Linked DNA regions of Neodiprion lecontei. The protein of the gene in region 3 interacts with the protein of the main gene of each other region in a pairwise test. Links are inferred from orthologs where the notes say so. Each region holds a gene or a part of one and is shown on either strand. Other genes may lie near its edges. The genes, in order: segment polarity protein dishevelled homolog DVL-3, neurogenic protein mastermind, neurogenic locus Notch protein and protein deltex.

Region 1 (5,035 bases), on a different chromosome or scaffold from region 3:
GCATCTAATAAATAGATCTCTGAAATAATCGGTATTTGAAAAAACGTTGATGGTGCACTCAGTGGTCGTGGAAAGGAGCATTTAAACAACAAATATCTATCGCATTTTGTTTTTCTCTAGAGAAGTTTTATTCCTTGTCTTTCCATACCGCTAAAAAACCTGATCAAAAAAATTCCGACTTTTCCCAGCCTTCCAGGTTGCCCCCTGACCAGTAGCCACCATGATCAAACTTTGGATGCTCTGTACAAAAATAAATATTACAGAGTCCTTTCGGTACCGCGTATTTCGTGAAAACGAAACCTTAGGCAGAATTTGACGTGTCGTTTTTCATTAAGTTATTCGTTTGTAAAAATTACTTGAAAATAAACTGTATTATAAAATTGAGTCGTTGAACATGTAAAGATGCTACTCTAAACGTGATAACGTGTAAATAATCTACAGATGTAGGAAAAAAGCAAAACCACGTGTTGATCCCAGTGATATGTGATAAAGATGGATTTCAATAAAAATGGCAGACACTGAAGTAACTCGTGAATGTGTGGTAACAAATATTTATATTTACCCCTTCATAATGGAGCCGACATAGATGCCGCCGTCACCTCCTTTGTTACTTTGGCCAACGATACTAATGCCGAGAAAATTGACAGTGTCCATATTGAGTGATACGGTTATAATGTTCAGAGACATGGTGCTGTCAGTGATGCTGCTGAACGATGACGTTCTTGACATTGGTGGTAATCTGTGACGACGTTTTCGCTGCGTCCTGCGACGGTCTATAAGTGAAATGAATATTGCATCAATGATTTTCGAAGCCAGTTGTGTTTACAACGAATCTTATATTGAAAAGAAATCTCGATACAGCTCAGCTCTAAACAACAAAATACACAAACATCATACCTAAGGTTGCTCTATCTATGGCACTGCTTGTGTTCGTGTGTCGCCCAGTCGTAGACGTTATTCGGCTGCTCGCATCGTCATCAGATTCCAGGAAAGTAGTTGTCTCTAAGTCGGAGCTTAAAATCGATGCGGTTTCATATCCATGTCCGGAACGATGCTTGGAATGGCCGTTTATGCGTAACCCTGTATCATATCATAAAATAACAGTAAAGTCGTAGATAATTACAATCAATCCTATGCTATTGGAATCGACAAGCAAAGGAACCACATTACCATTATATTTGTTATGTCTCTCATATTTGTCCGAATGATGCCGCGAACTTTTGTGCAGATGATGGCCTTGCCTGCTGCTTATAATACTCTCAGTTTCTGTCAATGTGTCATCGTGTGAGAGCAGTGGAGGTGCTCGGTTCATGTGTCCTGGAGTAACATGGTCAGGGCGATCATGTTTTGCCTCACTGTTTGCTACGGAATCTGTGCACTGCGATGCTCCATCTGATACGTTGCTGCCTTCAGCAGAAACCAGCTGTTGACAATATTCAAAAAATGATCATCAGTGATTTTAACTACATCAATTATGCACACTTACTAATATTTTACTATCAAGAAGTTTTATATAATTTCAAAACATCATCATTATGCTTCTATGAATTGTCCATTTGTTATTTACTGTGGCAATGTGCAGCGAATGAAATCAACTAATTAGGCTTACGGGTATGAGTGCTTACCCAAGACACAACCCTTCCGTTGAAACATGGTAAATGTGCGTCATCGTCAACTATTTCTTCTTTGACAACGCTGTGAAAACATATTATTTATAGGTAAAAGTTCAAGAGGTTAATGCAAGACGAATCAGTACAGACGCAAGGCAGATATTTCCATTGGTATTTCTAAGATAGAACAACTATTGGGACAAGAGCGAATTAGTCAAAGTATCGTACAAAGAAGTGTTTCTTGTATATTTCAAAATGGAAGCAAGATATCTAAAAGCGCAATAAACACGTTTTAAAACTCAAGTCCAATAGTGAAAAACATGTTTTTTTTTAAAAACAAGAATTCTGTAATGTTCGATAAATGAAAGAATTGCGTATATGTGAACTGTCTACGCGAAAGCACGGAAAAAAACAAAGAAAACAGGAAAAAAAATGAATGAAGAAAAAGCTTCGTGTTGACAAGTAGTGTTAGAAATGAATCGTTTTATACATCAGATTCTATTTCGCGTTTTGAGGTAAGAAGAGCAGAATTTGTAAATACTCGAGTAAAGTTTGTCGATTATTTCTATCCGACGGACAAGTGAAATAGTGTTTGGCGATCCTGAGAGACAGCGGAAAGTGACGGATGGTGGCGGAGCGACAGGGACGACGAATAGAGGAAGGTGACTGGCGAGAGGGGCAGAGTGTGGGTTCGCACCCTGAAAGTCGGGGTATCCTGGTTCCCGAGGGATGTTGGGGATGAAATATGGAGTAGCGTAGAGGCTTTGGTGAGAGAAAGGGCAAGAGCGAAAGGAAACAAGCGCAGGGCGAGTGATCCGCTGCTGGATGATAAGGAGAGCGTAGGGTGGTGCAAAACTTACCCGAAATCGTCGTCCATCGATTTGAAGAAATACTTGTAGCTCGGACGATTCAAGACATTCTTGAAGTCGGCTAGAGTCACTCTCTCCGGTGATATTGTTAGCTTAACTAGGTACGGTGTCTCCTCGTCGTCAATGTGGTATATTATTTTTGTCTCCTCCATCGCTGGGAGATTGTTAAACGGAGAACATTCACGGACGTTGATTACTCTCCGTGCACTTCTTCTCTTAAGCCAACATGGCGCTGTCGACACTCGTTGGGGTTCCAGATTATTATCTCAACGCGCAGCTACCTCGCGCAGCAGACGGTCATTGCGCACCCTACTCTTCCCAATAATGTTAAATCTTATCCGGTCGCGCACACGGCTGCGACGGGGGCGAACAATCTCACCGAAATCGTAATAATCAACAGAAAAAGCATCGGGAGGATCGCGGTGTCTCCATTCCTCCTTAATCGAATTCTCTCATTAGCTGCTTCGAATACACTCGCATCGTGTGGTTCGTGCGAAAAATGGATTGTGAGAACATATCGTATGGTTAGAATGTGAAAAATTTCGAACGCTTTGACACGCATCAGAGGCATGTAAAACTTGCTTTTGACCTAGGGCTTTCAAACTTCGCCTCGTGGTTTCCTGAGAATCTCTCGGTAATAAAAAAGCGTGGATTTTATGGGCATGGGCCACAAACACGATATAGAATATACTGCTAGACTTAGCAAGTTAAATTGCCAACTTCATGGCAGCGCTAGGTCGATTATCATCGAGATTTCGAATGTTTAGTTCAATTCAGTTGTGGCCTTAGAGCACATACTACGGGAGGTGGCTGCCCAACCTGTCACCTTGCGAAAACTGCAGCCGATGTGATGAGAGAGAAAGAGAGAGAGAGAGAGAGAGAGAGAGAGAGAGAGAGAGAAGTATTAGGGGCACTCTGTCTCTCGCATTCAATTAGATGATTATTTAAGACAGATTATACTCGACATATACCTTTCTCTCTCACTCCTCCGCTACCTTTCTGTATACGCGAAGCTACCTCGAGTATATGGCGCGAAGAGGTAAGAAGTAGCTATCTCACGTGGGTTATCAACTGAAAAAGTGTCCACCATAAAGCGACAAATAGTGGCTCAACAAGTCACCAGAATGATTCTAATAAGCAATAAGGCTTCAATCTGATTCGTGCTTTCTGTTGAATGTGGAACTTTTCCTACAACGCCATCTTAATTTCACCCTATTTCATGGACACTTTCTATACACAAAGATAGTCCTCCTTACTTCTATATGCTTTAGGGTTGTGGCGTAAACTAGCGATATCCGAAGTACGCCAACCAAATGGGCAAATTGCATGGTAGTAAAATAGGCTCAGAGATTATTTGAATTTGTTCTGGGGTCGCATTCCTATACCAGTTTATTTAAAGAGTGATTTAAAGTAGCACTGTAAGAAAGCTGGCGTAATATGTTATAACAGTAAAGTTATAACTCAAAATCCTTGTCGCAACTTGTGGTAATTTCCAGAAATTTCTATGACTTATCTATCTAATAGGAAAGGAATGTTGTTTTACATTGCTCAGGGGCTAGCCTTCTTCATTACTACACGGTATTACTACTCAATGCTTGGGTCAGGCTTTTGGGTCCTCAGATCTGTATAGGTTTTGCGCTCTCCAGAAATTTTTAATACACGCGCTGTATTCTGGTGACTGAGTGACGTCTGATCGAACTTGCTCAATAACTTAAATAAAATTCCCTTTGCCTGGGCACCTCCTTGCTGCGCATAAGCGGAAGTACGTCATGTGCCAAGTAGTCTCGAAAATCGCCGAGTATTACCAACCACACCATGGAGACTTATACAAGGAGCACGAACTTGATGTATACAAATTGCTTCCCAAAATGAGAGGTCACTAGTGTTCAATAAGTACTGAAACTAAGTTTGGGGGGAGGCATAAGGCGGCAGTGAAAACTTTCTACGAATCCCATTGCAAGATCATCGATTAGTCGATCTTGGGCATCCCTGCAACCAATGACACTTCGCTGCTAAAGGAACACTAGCGACGCTAGCGGTACAAAAAATTAACGTAATATGTATGATTACTGTGACAAGTTTTGTCAATTCAAGTATTTAACTTCGTGCTCCTTGTATAGTCTTCATGAACCACACTGTCATTTTGGCAGGGATTCGAGCCGTCATCGGAGAGTCGGTAATCATTAGAATATATTCCCTGGATATCCTCGTTGGCTCTGATATGACGCAGTGATATCTATTACACGGTTTGATTTCACGAAAACAGGGTCGAGGCACAATCAGGGGCCCCCTCGATCGGTACTCGACGGACGTGCGGTGGAAGCGAGTGTTTTCGAACGATGTAGACAAACCACAAATAACACAATTGGCACTTGCTGCATGGATGGGAAACTCTTGCTGCCTGAGATAACCTCCGTCTTTTGTTATTGCAGCTATCGGAGATAATTCAGCCTTCGTTCTAAGTCGAGTATATTTCGTAAGTCCGTTAGAATATAGTGTCTCTTTATTCTCTCCTTGCACTTTTTCTGAGCTTTGACTTCGTATATCCTCACCTTG
Region 2 (4,602 bases), on a different chromosome or scaffold from region 3:
CGGCGGCGAACAGAAACGGCGAGATCGCATCTCTCTCGCGGAGTCGTCGTCGTCGTCGTCTAGGGTATAAACGTACACCAGAGACGCGTGCGTATGTATGCACATAGATGCATGAATCATGGAGAGAGTTAAACGCGGGAATCGAATTGGAATGTCGGGTTGCTCCGGTCTAAGCTCGGATTACTGCACTGGCTGGTTGGTTGGTTGGGTCGGGCAAGCAAGACGCCCGTAGTCACCGTCGTCCTCCTCGTCCTCACCGTCGCTCGCCCGTTACATACCGTTGTTGTACTAACGACTTTCCGTACGTGCGGCTCAACTAACTCTCTATCCCTCTACCTCTCTCTCTTTCTTTTCTTCCTTACAACGGTATCACCTCGAAGAGGATTAGGGAATTCGAGACAATACGTTTGACTTGTAAGAAACGGGACAGCCGGAATGTTTATGACCGTTTTAGGTACTTGGAAAGAGAGAGAGGGAGGGAGGGAGAGAGAGAGAAGGGCTTTTATCACAATACGTACAGGGAAAGGTTTCGCATAATAAAGAAACAAACGGGAATAACAGAGGTAAACTCACCACGTGAACGCTGGCGAGTCCGACGGGGTCGTTTTGCTTCTTGTCGGTCTTCTTGGCCTGCCGTTTGGCCTTGCTCTCGAGAAATCGTTGCTTGAGCACCTGAGTGTCCTGGCTATTTTGTTCAACGAGTCCGTTGAAGCTCTGATCAAACCTGGGTATGCAGTCGGTCTGCCGCCTCCTGTAGCTTTCGATCCTCCTCCTTAGCCTGTCGAATACGGCCTGCCTCTTTGGGGTTAAGGCATCCTCCATCCCCGGCGCCTGTCCCATTTGTAATTGTTGTATCTGATTCTGGGCGATCAATTGGTTCGCGTTCAAGCCACCCGGCTGCACGATGATGCCGTTGTTGTTGTTGTTGTTGTTGAGGTTGTTGTTATTGTTGTTGTTGTTATTCTGGTGCTGCACGCTCTGCTGAGACGCGCCCACGCAGGCCGAGGCTGGCCCTGAGGGGGGGCCTTGCGGGGGCTGCCGGGGCAGGAGCCCCCCTGCCTCCATACAGCCCCCTAAGTCCAGCGCAGGGTACGCCAGCTCAATGAGAGCCTCTGCTTCTCGTCGCCCTGGCGCCGCGACGGGGTGTCTCCTCCGCCACCGCGATAATCCCCCCTCGCATCCTCCCCTTGCACCGCGAGCCGTCCTTCCACGGGCGGACAGCCGCCGCTCCGACTTTTACTTCTACCTCTACTTCTACGACGACTGTTTCCACGTCTGCGTCTACGTCTACCTCAGCCTCTGCCTCTTCCTCTTCCTCTTCTTTTTCTTCTCTCTTACTCGAGAAGGTGCCCCCGTTGGACTTGACTCGCAGATTGTCACTCGCTTCTCCCTCCTCCGCAACCTCGTACATCGGCGTACGACGCGCGATTGTTCCTATTTTTCGTCACCTCCCCTTCGCCCCCGCCTCCTTGCAACAAGGAATTTTACGTTATTATCACTCGGCGAGCGCTATACGCTCTCCTCTCGCTTTTGTCGCTTCGCTGCCGCTTCTTATCGTATCGAGAATCACGCGTGCCGCGCTCGCGCAGGCGCAGGCGCAGGTTCAACTCCGTGACGAGGAGGGTGAAGAAACACACTGCGAACGGCGACGACGGCAATGCCCTATAGCGGTGGTAGCGGTCCTCTTCCACGTGATGTAAACAAGAACCCGATGACATTCGGCGGCGTCTTCGTTACGACCGTAAACATTGTAGGGATTCGACGTGTTGTACTTCCACCTAATTGTCACTACTGTCAACTCCGCGCACTCTTACCCAACTATTGCACTTTCTTTGTTCGCCGCGCGTGTGTATGCACTACGTACGAATATCAGCGGCAGCCCTTTCTCGCCTCTCGCGCCGAAGGGTGTAAAAGAACGTCAACAAGAATAACTGTAAACAATCCGTCCCGGCGAACCGCGCCACCTTTCCCGATCCTCGACTTGTTCGACGCACGACGGGTATCGCGTGCACCGATCGCGAGTAGTCTCGCCTACTTACTCGTCGTTATACGTACGTCTCCTCGAGTGCTCTCCTACCAGCCGATCGTCGTTCGCAGCGGCAGAAGGCGACGTCGAATAACGCGCGGCTCGACGTCACAACAGGTAGTTGAGAGTGAGCGCGGCGTGTTTCAGCCGACTAGAAAGAGACGGTCGTAGGTCGTTCGGCACGAGGGGGGGGGGGCGGAGTGCGACATCCAACGGACGGGGGTAAGCGACGTGAAGAGCGAGAGAGAGAGGGGAGGGGGGGAGAGAGACGAACCGGTGTACCGCTGCTAGAGAGTCCGAGGGACGCACAACTGCCGTAGCTGCAGCCTGAAGCCAACCGCAGGAGAGACGGACACGCCGGGTTTATCCGCCGCCTCCCTCTATTTTCTCTCGTTCTCTCTCTCTCTCTCGCTCTCTCGCTCTCTCTCTCTCTCTCTCTCTCTCTCTCTGTTTGCGGGAGAGAAGGAGGGCCCGATGTTGTACTCGATAAAACGTCAAGACAGAAGAGAAGCGGACTTCTGCGATTCGGGCTAAACGCCGAACGACGACTGACGAAGGTTTCGATCGTGAACCCCGTTCGCATTTACTTCTTTCCCGTGATCGTTGCACTTTGAACGGTGGTGAGAGTTACATGTTGTTTCGAACGCGCGGCGTTTGTCACATGTTGTTTGTTTTGCTTTATCGACAGAGAGGGGGGATGAGTAACACCGAGGTTCTCGTACGCACAATGATAACACTTCACACCGTATCTTCCTTCTCCTCGTCCTCGTCCCGTAAGTCTAACCCTAACCTCACTTTTCAACTGTCACTATCCACTCTTCGTCGGGTCACAGATTCTACCGCACGGTCAGTTTACGTTAATCACGACGCGCGCGACCCCGCGATGACAACACATTCAATTCCCCCAAACGGCCGTCTCGTTTTACCCCTGTATAACGCGCGGGGCCATTACCACAACTGCGCGTGGGTACGGGAGCATATATCGTTGAAACGGCAAACCGTAATTACAACATCGCAAACAGCGACGCCTGGATCCGAAACGCCGAACTGCCGCGCCACTGCCTTTCTCGGTGGGACACGTGACCCTCGCGCCATCTTGAATTCAGGCTGCCGACTAACTGCCTCGTCGACGCTCGGGAAGAAAGCTGTCGTGGCGAGCGTGGATGGCGAGGATGTTTTGGAAAAGCGGTTGCGACCTTTAACCGAATGAAACTGAGAATGATTCGGGAGTAACCGCTCCCTTAGTTGGCGAATAGGATTCGTTTCACATCTGCGAATTCGAATGAACAGATTTACTCGCAAGATTTTAAGGTAAGGCATTTTCTTACGCTAGGGTTCTTAATACTCTCACCTATGGCGCCACAACCCGGATCGCATCGATGTATTTTGTTTTTTTGCATCGTCAACAACGTGAGAAAGAAACCGATGCAGTGAGTTAATCGAAATACATACATAACAATACGTAAAATGCGAAGCGATATGTGAATTTCTGACTTCCCGTAATTTCCCGTATCCACCAGGATGCGTGTCGACTTTCACACAAATTTGTTTCGACCTGACCCGAGAAAACAAAAGACAGAGCAATCAGGCGACTCGAAATCGGGAAGTTTTATTGTGGAAGAGGATTTGTTAGTACTTCTCACGACTTGATCAATTGATTATCAATCATGCTATCGATTACAGACCTGTTTTTACGACAAAAAGGAACCTGAAGGAGGCAACATTCGCGTTCAATCGAAGATGCCGCTGGTAGTCTTATTTTGTAGAGAGAATCTTATCTGGCCTACGGTATGCCAAAGTACACGATTCCATAGAAAACACAGATAAACGATCGGAGATATTTCGAAGAAGAAAATATGGGATACACAAATTGAGACGCAGTAAGGTAAGAAGTTACCGTGAATAAAAATTATTGGTAACAAAATAAGGAAGGGAGGGAGAGCGATTCTTTCTCCCTCCCTCCCCCCTGCCGTAATCAGGCAGAATGCAAAATATTTACCCGTGAGCTTACGAACACGGCAAGCACAAGTTTTGTTAATATTTGACATTTATTGTCAATTCTGATTGCAACGGTTGAGCTTTATTCACGGAATTAACAACAGGTAAATTCCGTGAACCAGGTAAATAAAAAAGTATTTAAATTTGACACTAATTGACGAAGTGATTATTATCTTTTCTGCTCGTTCGGATTCCCGTAGTCGTATAATTGGCTGTGAACCGGAACTTTGGTTAATACGGTTCAGTCAATAAGTTTCTTGCCGTTTGGTTTGAAAAGTTTTTCACAATTATCCCAAACCTTTTGTCACTGATGTTTTAGCCTATGTTAACGACTTTCAAATTATCATGCAGGCGTTCTGAATTTCTCTTTTCTCACAAGTTAGTTGAGCGTTCATAATTTATTATTTTTAGACTTTTTCTTTACTTCAACTTTTACTTCTCTTTGCGTGCAAGAAATCACTAAAAATGGTAGCTCTCTTCATCGTTTTTATCTATCTATTTGTGCTCACGGTGTGACAAAATTGGCAATGGTCGCAAACAGGGTTGAACTCGTTTCTATATCTCGTTTCGGTAAACTC
Region 3 (4,570 bases):
TAGGCGACGCTCTCGACCTCCGGTTTCGCCAAATCTTACGCTCTGACCATTCGGATATCTATGCATTGAATTATCACAATGCTCTTATATCGATGTTTTTGAATAGTTCTCAACTCCATCTTATTATATAACACATACTTAAATGCAGTCTACATTACAGTTTCAAGAATTTCGTTATCATTATTATATCAGCCAGTTAACTTTATCGCATAAGATGGAGAAAAAAAATACTTCTTACACGTAACTTCAAAAACCCAAAGAATCTTTTCAACGATTGCATAATTTTATATTCAACTTGGAATTTAATTCCATCACACCAGTTTCACCCAAGAAAGAAAGAAAAAAAACTATTCTGTCACTACTTTTGTATAATCAATTCTAATAAAAAAAATAATGACAAAGATTTTGTAAAATTTTCCAATCATTGAACAAAGATCATGTATCGTATGTTATATTTTATACGACTGTGAATAAAATTTGAATCAATTCATCGAACCTGACTAATACTTATTTTCAACTTATTCATCAATAATGGTCAAAATCTATCGTACATGTATAGAGAACAATACACATAATCCTACATTATATATAAGACACACGGCAATGGGAGAGGCGAAGATAGGTTTCTAAGGAGAGAAGAGAAAGCCTGAGAACATAGTTCCGTAGTTGTTGAGACTCCGACAACCTCTGTGCGGCATCGGTATTACATACCTATATACAATACGAGTTCAACACATCCGTAAATTTGGTCTAGCCTAGAGTGAATGTGGATTATGAGTATATACACATATGTATACGCATATGTGTGTGTATATATATACACATATACACAGATGCAGCGGAGAGACGGACTCCAGGTAAGCTAATTGTAAGCCAGGGCGCAAGGAAGGCATGGATGGAAACCGAGGCGAGGAGCAAGGCCTAGTTATTTCGCCTCAGAATTCCAGCCGACACGCAGACGAACCACCGTGCGCCATGTTTACTCGCGCTTCATTTCTCTCGGATTCTTTATTCCGGCTGGGACGGGTCTATTGTATGCATTAACGCATTCGCCACTCGCCGGAATTCACCGGAAACGACGCTACAATTATAACGAATTTTTTCTTCTGTACCGCGTATTACTGTAAAAGTTAACGCCGTAGAATATGAAACGTTCACATGAAATACAGTTGCTCTGACTGTAATTAAAAGTTTAGGAGGGATAATAGCACGCAATAGTTCTTGTTTTAATTTTTTTATCTTGTTTTTTTTTTTGCAACTTCCAAGTTGTATATTTTTTACGACGGTGATTTTACAGTTGATTTTATAAAAGAGTTTTGAAAATGTTGAACGTCAAGTTATATTTAGTTCATATTTTGGAATAGCGTGAGTGATTTTTATCTATCACGATTCAAGTAGAAGGTTGATTGTGTTATATGGAAATATAACGATTGCTTAAAACGCGTAATCTGGAAAAAGGGTAATCCGACTTTTGTAAATAATTTGAAAGTTGTTCCAAAACTGATATATTTCCTGTTACAAAATTACGGATAAATAAAATTTGGGAAACGATTTGCTTTGAGTTTATTGTAAAATTCATCAGATTTTTAAACGGTCCTAATAATGCGGTGAGTGTAAAATTTCACCTGGATATCAACGCCCGAGTTCAATAAAGTCTATATACATATACATATACGTGTACGTAATAAACCCAACAAGAAAGATATTCGTTTCGTGGAAAGTGGGGTTGAACACCTGTCGTTTCAACAGGGAGTCCCAACCTGTGACGGAAAAAGCCGGTACGCACACGCGAGACGATTTTTCAATTGAGAACCGCTGTCGCGACCACGTGACTCGTGTATTCGGCATTTTATAAGCACTCACTCGCTCAGGCAAGCAGGACTAGCTGTGCGTGAGGCTGAAAGCCGGTCCGGTCGTAAAAACGAATTTGCGCAGAGCGAGGAACTCGAACTCTAATTCATTCAGGAATCGTAAAACGATTCGTTATGTATTCAATTATTCAATGCCTTAGTTGCGTGTTCGGTGAGAATCGGGCGAAATGTAATGTTACGGTAGAAATTTCGATCGATCAAGCTTGATAGAAAACTCAAGTTTTCACTTAATTTGAGTGGAATATTTAAACGTAAGTTTATGGTTTACCGTGACTTTTGACAAAGCTTAAATGCAAAGTTCAGATCGCTCTTCGGCGAGAGGTTTTGATCAAGCTTGATCGAAATTTGAAGCACGCGGCGGAAGGGAAAAAGAAAATGTCAGATTTGTTTTCATCGCGCAGAATGAATGGAAAAACCGGATGCTTGCGGTTACATTGATGAATCAAGAGATTTTCGAGGTGGCGGTTTATTCGGGTATATTTTCGGGACAGGTAGTAGTGGAATGGCAGCAACTCGACGCCTCGCGACGCGCCCTGAAATGCTAATGCAGGAATACTTGAGGCAGGCATTCGCTCGGCGAAGCCGGGCTGCCGACTTTGGGGTGTTTTCGAGTTTTTAAGTAGGACAGCGCGTTCGAAAATGTCGCGCCGGCGCGGAGAAACCCGCGTCGCTTTTCAGACCTGTTGCACAGCCTGCAGCTGCCGTCGCGACGGGGAGTTTTTTGTTTCCGCACACGCGCATTCTAAGGGGGAACTTGAAATTCCGGGTGACGACTACGGAGGATTCTTCCGTTTTATTCGATGAGAATAAACTCACCGTGAACCGAGGCCGGCAGACTGGCGACGAAAAGAGCCAGAGCGACGATCGTCAATGCGTAATCCATATTCCGCTGTAGACGGAGCATGTTGGCGGAGAATTTATCCACACAGAGATCACACACATCAGACAATTGATCACACAATCACTTAATCACTATAATAACATAATGCGATACCGTGCAGTGCAACCGGCTACAGTCCATTATCGTTTAACACCCGGGTAACTTCAATGTTCATCGTAACTTCAATCTGCTGCTGCTGCTGCTGCTGCTCCGGCGGCGTGTTTACATTACGCGAGCTGAACAACGTGAAGCAAAACAACGACACAGACCTCATATACGAACATGACCGCGGCTCAAACTCGTCTGGGATTCTATTGTTCACTTCACGCGCTGAAAGTAGTCCCGGAACGGCGCGCGCATCTCGAGCGAGAACGCTTGTCTCACTCCGCCGATCACAAAATGGCCGACACCATCTGCCAATCCCGCTGTCCAATCGAGGGGTTGATGCGTTCTACGGTTCCGTTCGAACTACGCTATGAAATTGTACGAGTGCCCGTTTTCGACGCCCTGCAGCCCTCCGCTTTTTTCTCATTCGGTCCCCTCGTATCGTTTAAATACCTCCGTCACGTGACACCGCCTCCATTTATGCCGCGGGGGACAAAAAATCCTGCCGCACGCTGCCTCCGAAGGGCCTGCTTGGCTATAAACTCTTGTACAAATATTAATATACGTTGGTTTATTATCGAACACTTCAATGAAATACAATCTTCATACGATCTTCTTTATATGAGATTATCAGATTCTTAGGTACATGTAATCCTATTCGCGATGCACCAAGAACAAGCGGGTTTCGGCTGACCATGAGCCAGCCTTTCAACTTGCCGTTTGCAAACTCGTTTCGAGCTGAAATAATAAGAATGATATTAATAATGAAAAATTTACAGATCTCATTGATTCGTGATCACCGACTCAAAAAACCTTCAAGTATAAATTTTCATCAAAATCCAATTGTTTTTAGTTTTTTTAACTCGAGATTCGTGATTTGCGACATAAAAATCTAAAGTAATGACACAAATGATCATGCAAATTTGTTCACCCATTTTCAAGGTATCATTTCTATTCTATTTGTAAGAATATTGTTATTTAAATAATTCGACATGTAATGAACCAATCAAAGCCGAAATATAATCCGATCTACGTTTCGAAAAATCGCATCAATTGCGACAAAAACATTAAAATCGTGATGCTCTAGATTTTAAAACGTGCAGATCTAGTGAGAACTCAACTTTTCATTTTCGGAGCTATTACAATAACTTCCTTTTTACTCTGAAAACATAGAAAAGAGAAGTTAAACGTGCATAGCTGCTGAAAGCAGCTAAATTTTTTATCTTATATGAACTCACTAAAAATTTTGTTACAGTAAATATCGACTTAATTAAATTTGAAGAATCTTTTTACTTCAGACAGTTGAAATGAAATCTTGTCAACTAAATATAAATTTATGAGAATGGAATACTTCATTATTTCAAGTAAAGATTTATGCGTTACAGATAAATTTTTTAATTTGTTTGTACGCAACTAAAATTTATTTGCTTCAGTTTCACTTTATTTTTCTGAGTGCAGTATTAACTCTGTCTTGCAATGATATTCTTTAATTTAAAGATTTGTTCGAGTTTGAAAATTCGTTTAAAATAGAAACTATGTAGAAGCTCTTGGCGACATCAACCTAACTACTAATTATGGACGAAGCGTTTATGTTTATTATACATTACATTATAATACTGTTTCAGCCAGTTCGATATAATGAGATATCGCGTGTGTATACACAATTAATGAAGGTAATTTAAGCTCGTTAATAATAGACATTTGAGCCTTGAGA
Region 4 (5,833 bases), on a different chromosome or scaffold from region 3:
TGGTCCAAGGGACGTTATTATTTCAATTGGTGTTACGTCTCCATATATCATTTCGTCGCAGAAGCCATTTACCTCTTAACAATAAAAATCATTTACATATTTGTTACAATTGTTTATGCAGTACTCAAAACGAGAGCAAGCTTACTATCTAGAATGGAGAGAAGGCTCCGGGCAAATTGGCCATTTTCATTGTTGACAAGCTGCGTCCGAAGCCAGCCGACAAACATTGGACACGCTGCTAGAGACTGGAGAAGCGCGTTCATGAAACAAGTGTATCCTAGATTGGTGAGTCCAATAATTTGGCCTAGAATAACGACAATGACATAAATTCCAAGAGGAATGATTATAGGTAAACAAGCTAGTTTTTTGAGTAATTAGGATAAAACGGGCAACGGTTCATTACTGTATAATATTAAAAATGACTTCATCAATTGAAAGACTTGTGAAGGAAAGGAGACAATCGTCGATCGCTACTTGTATGCTATTACCTCTTCGCCTAGGCCTAGGCGAAGGTCCCCAAAGTACAAAAGCGCCGATAACAAGGGCAAACCCGACACCGGCGACCATAGCAATTTTCTCAACATCCATTTTGCGTAGAAGTTTATAAGTTGAAGTGTAGAAACAATATTAAATATTGTTAGATATCCAGCAGAAACGGTTATAACCTATTTGTGATATATCGTGTGAGAATGAGCTGCGTTATTTCATTATTACAGCAAGTCTTCATCGCCCGATCATTTCACCGCATAGTTCATTTGCCTAAGACACGATTTGAGACGGCTACTTTGCCACTTCTCTGTTTACAAAATTTTTTCTTGTATTTTTAATCCACAGTACGGGTCCGACCCGAATTGTGCAGAGCCGTCTCCGACGAACGGTGAAGTGGTCAATGCTCAATACAAATGGGCAATGACAGCCTTGCCAACCCTTCGAATAGAAATTCAGGAATCGGAAACGCATACTTGGCTCGTTGGAAAAAAAATGTAGAGCAATGAACCCTATCCATGTTTTGTAAATTTATGAATTACGCAGAGCCGTTACACTTGATCATCTCGAATTCGTAGAAAAAAAACGACGTGAGCTCTGCATTCTGACTTTCGAATCTTACGAGATAAATGTAAAGAAAAAAGGGTCGACAGGTGTCATTTATGCCATGTTTAATGTATACATGTGCGTTGTGTACCTATGTGTGCATAACACTATGCATACAATCGTAACGTATAATGCAGGAATTTAATTCATCAGATTGTTAACCGTAATCAACTAATTCGATAAAGGGAATAGTTGACAATGACAAATGTGCACGGAAACGTTTATCATCGTATAACGTGCATTGCAATTCTCAAGTGAAAAACAGTGAGAACTATAAAATTGTAGTAAATTCTCTCCTCGGCGTTAAGCCTGGCTAGGGGAGTCGGATGCTGGGAAGGCTGGGAAGTGACAAGTGCGCTTGGAGGAAGCAGCGTCCATCCTTTTCTCTTTTAATTCTGTGCCGACTCCGGTGATTTCAAGTCGATTGTTCAGTCATCGAAGGGTAAATGAAACAGAGCGAGAAAACGGATCGCCGTTACTTAGCGAATAACCCGTCGGCTAATACGGAGTAAACTGAAACTCCAATATTTACGTTCTCGTTACGCAGACGTATACAAAAGGATCGTGGAGAGGGGCGGAGGGGAGGAGGACAGACAACACCGATACTCTCTACGGTGTGCGGGCGGAGCTGTATGAATTCGAAAAATGTTCCCACGGTCACGTCGAACCGAGTTGATCGCCACGTTCGTCCCAGTTCATCTTTCGCGGCGCTCAGCGTCCTGTGAGAGCGGCCTTGACCGTTGACCGTTCTATTTACACCATTCTCATCTTCACCCACTTCACTCGAACCTGAAGGATCGAGGAAGATGAGTGGGCACGCAGTCGTCGTGTGGGAATGGGAAAATCGACAAGCTAGATGGAGGCCGTACAGTCCGGCGGTTTCCCAGCACCTGGAGAGAGCCCATTGCAAAAAACTTACCAGGGTATTCTTGAACGACGCAGATCCGAGCCTCGACAGGTATGAGAAAATAAAATTTACACTAAAATGGCAATGGATCATTTCTATGAGCTCTGTCATTTTTTTTTACCATGCAGCTTGCTTTGTATTTTAATCGTACCCTGATATTCATATTTTATCTAAAATCGTATTTACCGTAAAAGATTAAAACTGACCCGATCTTACCCCACCATTAGATGCTACTTGGAACGATTCTCTATTGAAAATTGGAAAGTTGAATTCTTCCTTCGTTGAGTTACCAAGAGAAGATGATATAAATTATTGAATAGTCTAAATATTTCAGCTCGATTGGTTCCACGATGCTTGGGATTTAATAATAGCAAGCTTGAGAATTTCGTTCCCTGAAAAATAGCCACATATTTCTGCGTACACACTTGTATTCTTCTCAGTATTGCTTATTGGGTATTGCAAGGTCTTCTTGCTAGGACTTGATTAGTTTTCGGTGTATTTTTCCATCTGTTATGAAAAAAAACGACAGTTTCGTCTGTATCAGATACTACATCAATCTGAGGACAAAGACGCAGTGCAGTGACGATGGCACGGAAACTCATAACGTTAGGAGAAAATTTTACTTGCCTGGATCACCGGCAGGAAAAGGTGCCAAGTGGGAATGGGTCGGTGACACTGACGATTGGCACACTTACGACATGGAGGTCCAGTGCCTCATAGAGGAAGCATGGGCACGGGTGCGTTTAAAAAATTCTAAGATGTAACTTTTCTGGTTCGAATATTTATAAATCGTATAAGAGCAATATTTCTCTTAATTAATTTATTACCTTTTGATTTTTCCAGGGTGACAAAACAATTGACGTTTCCAAAACATACCTCGGCTTTCCTTACATAATAAATTTTTGCAACCTTACTCAAGTTAGATGTTGCACAGGTTATGTACGCCCGATCAGACGTATACAGCAGGCACCGTATCCTTTAGTGAAAGTTGCGCTTGAGGAATTGCCACCGACTACTGGAAGAAGAGGACTAAATGGAACTGTCAAAAATCCACATGCTAAACCAACACATAAGAAATTACCCAATGGGACTGGAAAGAAGAGTAGCAAGAAGGTAATGCAAAGTGCTCGATGATTGATTAGTAAAGTAGTTGAATCATCTCATAAAATGGGTTTGAGAAGAACCTTTGAAAGCTTACATCAATACTAGAGTCAAAACTTGATCAGAACCTATAATGATTTCAAGCATAACATTTTTTTAGGGAAAACATGGCGATACAGGACCAACAAACATCGCTCGTGTGATATTGAATAACTTGAATATTTTCGGTAATAAGCATGCGGAAAACGTGCCAGTAGAAAGCACTACAGAACCAGTTCAAAAACGCAAGACACGGGATTCCAATTTACTAGACATTGATTCAAGCAGCACCAAAAGTGGTCGGCGTCCTAGCGTTGATACAGTATCCACCTATCTCAGTCACGAAAATTATGTTGATTTATTAGACAGCAGTGTAGGGAGTGACGATGCCTTCAAGGATTCAGTTATTGGTGAGCAAGAAGCTTACTCAACATATTGCAAGAAAGAGAGTACATCCAACATTAAGGCCAATCATTCGTTTCAGGCGTTGTAGTCGAAGCTCCTGATGTCATATCTCAGTATGTAAGGGTGGTTGAAAGTGCCGGTGCTGATTCGTGTCCTGTTTGTTTGGGCTCTCCTGAGCCTCTGACAGTCGAGTTGACTCGCTGCAGACACAGGTTACACCTAGCGTGTCTAAACGCAATGATTAGTTCACAACAGCAACCAATGTACATACAGTGTCCAGTGTGCCGATTGATATATGGAGAAAAGAGAGGAAACCAACCTCCAGGGACAATGAATTGGACCAGAATACCGCGGTCTCTTCCTGGATTCCCGAACACGAACACAATTCAAATAACTTACGAGTAAGTAGGCGTAACATTCTCGCAAAACTGACTTGATTTCATTCGGTTTTCTCGATTTTACGCGTTTCTTGTTGGTTTCTAGCATTCCATCAGGAATTCAGGGTCCTGAGCACCCAAATCCTGGCCAAACATACTACGCAGTTGGCTTTCCTCGAGTTTGTTATCTCCCCGACAACGACACAGGCAGAAAAGTCCTAAGACTACTGCAAATCGCTTTCGAGAGAAGGTTGATCTTCACCGTTGGACGGTCAGTGACTACGGGCCGAGAAGATGTCGTTACCTGGAACGAAATTCATCATAAAACTGAGTTAGGTCCGTCGACCTTGGGACATGGGTATCCCGATGCTTCATACTTGGAACGAACGCTCGCGGAACTCGCGGCACAAGGAGTTTCCGATGGCCAATCAGTGACTGGTTTCTACCAAGAGCTTCATTGACTCAGGTATTTCGACGTTTTCGCTTTGCGAAAATATTCTTTAGATCAGGGTTGGGCTGAGCAGCTGTGCAGTTAAACTGACGAGAAAAGACTGACTGAACAAGAGGAAACAGTCTGCCAAACAAGAAATCAATTTTTTTTCGTGGTGAATAAATTCTGGCGAATATTAATACTATTTGGGACATGCAAGATGGTCTCAACAATGCCTTACGTATTATACAATAATTATCGTTGGCGTAATAGCTTTAATTTGCAATTCAATATTAATAGCTTTATATTATACTTACATATAAGCGTGAGAGCGTGTGCGTGTGTGCGTGTGCGTTAGCATGTGTGTGTGTGTGTATTCCGCACATTTTTTTTCAAGTTTTTTGAAATATATTTCTCAAATTTTGTGTAGTTAAATGGATCTGCAGCATTATATTCGTGCGGTTGTTTTTAGTCTGCTATAATCTCGAAATGTTAATTTACCTTGCGTTAAATTTTAAATGGAACAAAATACTATGAGGAGAATGGTGATCCGTGCTTCCAGAAAAATATTATATACTATATACATATACGTAGATTTATACTCCATCAAAATGGTATTAATGAAAATAGATATATAGATATATTTATGATAGAAATATATTAAATAAATATAACAATTAGTATAAAATATACAAATTACACTTTCTCATCAGATTGTAATTTAACTAATTTCAGATTCAACCAATAACCAACCTTTTTCGTTCTTCCTGTATGTACCTTGCGAGTGCCGTGTTTGGACACTAGCAGATATTGCACAAATTTCAACATACTGACAGATACTTCAGTCAGGTTGGCAGATAGACGGCCAGGGTCTACTTAATCACAATCAGAGAAGGGACCCAAAGCTTTGGAAAGTCTGAGAATTCTCCGAATAGTGCAAATCCCGCAGAATTCAAAGCAGATACAAAAACAAGTACATTCATGCTATATCTAATGATTTGGGATACTCAATTCTTTATGGTATACTCCAGTAGCGTTTTTTGGTATCAGTATAGCCAGATGATATATGCCAACACAGATACGCATTATCGGGAGTATTATTATGAGCTTGAATTCTGAGTTGAAATTTAAAAAATACATATTTTAATCGGCCCAAACTCGTGAAGGATATCGAAACGACTTGGACACTTTTTGGTAATCCGTGGTATAATTCAAATTTCTTGGCGCCGAGAACTGCGGCAACTCGGCAAACATACGTGGCGATGTTCGTTTGCAAGTCATGCGTATATAAATTACCAGTGAGTTAATTATTACAAAAGTCAGGGAGTGAGAAAAAAAAAAGAAATGGCAGAATGTTGACAATTGATTATGTCTCCATAACATCATTTAAAATGATCGCCCAACGGTGTGAAGTAAGGCCAACTCTATCACATTGTGATCAGGGGGACTCCAGATATGCTCAAGATGGCCGAGGATTGATTT

What was found.
Region 1: the proteins of neurogenic locus Notch protein (region 3) and segment polarity protein dishevelled homolog DVL-3 interact in a two-hybrid assay, tested with the Drosophila melanogaster proteins (3 studies listed by BioGRID). The link is inferred for Neodiprion lecontei from reciprocal best matches to the Drosophila melanogaster genes N and dsh.
Region 2: the proteins of neurogenic locus Notch protein (region 3) and neurogenic protein mastermind interact in a two-hybrid assay, tested with the Drosophila melanogaster proteins (5 studies listed by BioGRID). The link is inferred for Neodiprion lecontei from reciprocal best matches to the Drosophila melanogaster genes N and mam.
Region 4: the proteins of neurogenic locus Notch protein (region 3) and protein deltex interact in binary tests that used the Drosophila melanogaster proteins (3 or more experiments, as listed by UniProt). The link is inferred for Neodiprion lecontei from reciprocal best matches to the Drosophila melanogaster genes N and dx.

The regions. Positions count from the first base shown.
Region 1 is NC_060262.1:8,146,928-8,151,962, forward strand, and holds the start of segment polarity protein dishevelled homolog DVL-3, read right to left. Parts: upstream 3,025-5,035; 5' UTR 2,632-3,024; coding exon 2,471-2,631; intron 1,696-2,470; coding exon 1,626-1,695; intron 1,424-1,625; coding exon 1,171-1,423; intron 1,081-1,170; coding exon 898-1,080; intron 774-897; coding exon 563-773; intron 1-562.
Region 2 is NC_060265.1:1,241,307-1,245,908, reverse strand, and holds the start of neurogenic protein mastermind, read right to left. Parts: upstream 3,005-4,602; 5' UTR 1,066-3,004; coding exon 574-1,065; intron 1-573.
Region 3 is NC_060261.1:15,201,926-15,206,495, forward strand, and holds the start of neurogenic locus Notch protein, read right to left. Parts: upstream 3,033-4,570; 5' UTR 2,776-3,032; coding exon 2,688-2,775; intron 1-2,687. UniProt on the Drosophila melanogaster protein: Essential signaling protein which has a major role in many developmental processes. Functions as a receptor for membrane-bound ligands Delta and Serrate to regulate cell-fate determination.
Region 4 is NC_060264.1:2,162,154-2,167,986, reverse strand, and holds protein deltex, read left to right. Parts: upstream 1-1,594; 5' UTR 1,595-1,898; coding exon 1,899-2,050; intron 2,051-2,528; coding exon 2,529-2,736; intron 2,737-2,842; coding exon 2,843-3,112; intron 3,113-3,260; coding exon 3,261-3,549; intron 3,550-3,623; coding exon 3,624-3,945; intron 3,946-4,027; coding exon 4,028-4,382; 3' UTR 4,383-4,387; exon of another isoform or gene 4,388-5,009; intron 5,010-5,086; 3' UTR 5,087-5,324; downstream 5,325-5,833. Other genes in the region: ubiquitin carboxyl-terminal hydrolase 30 homolog, read right to left, coding at 1-74, 146-304, 489-588.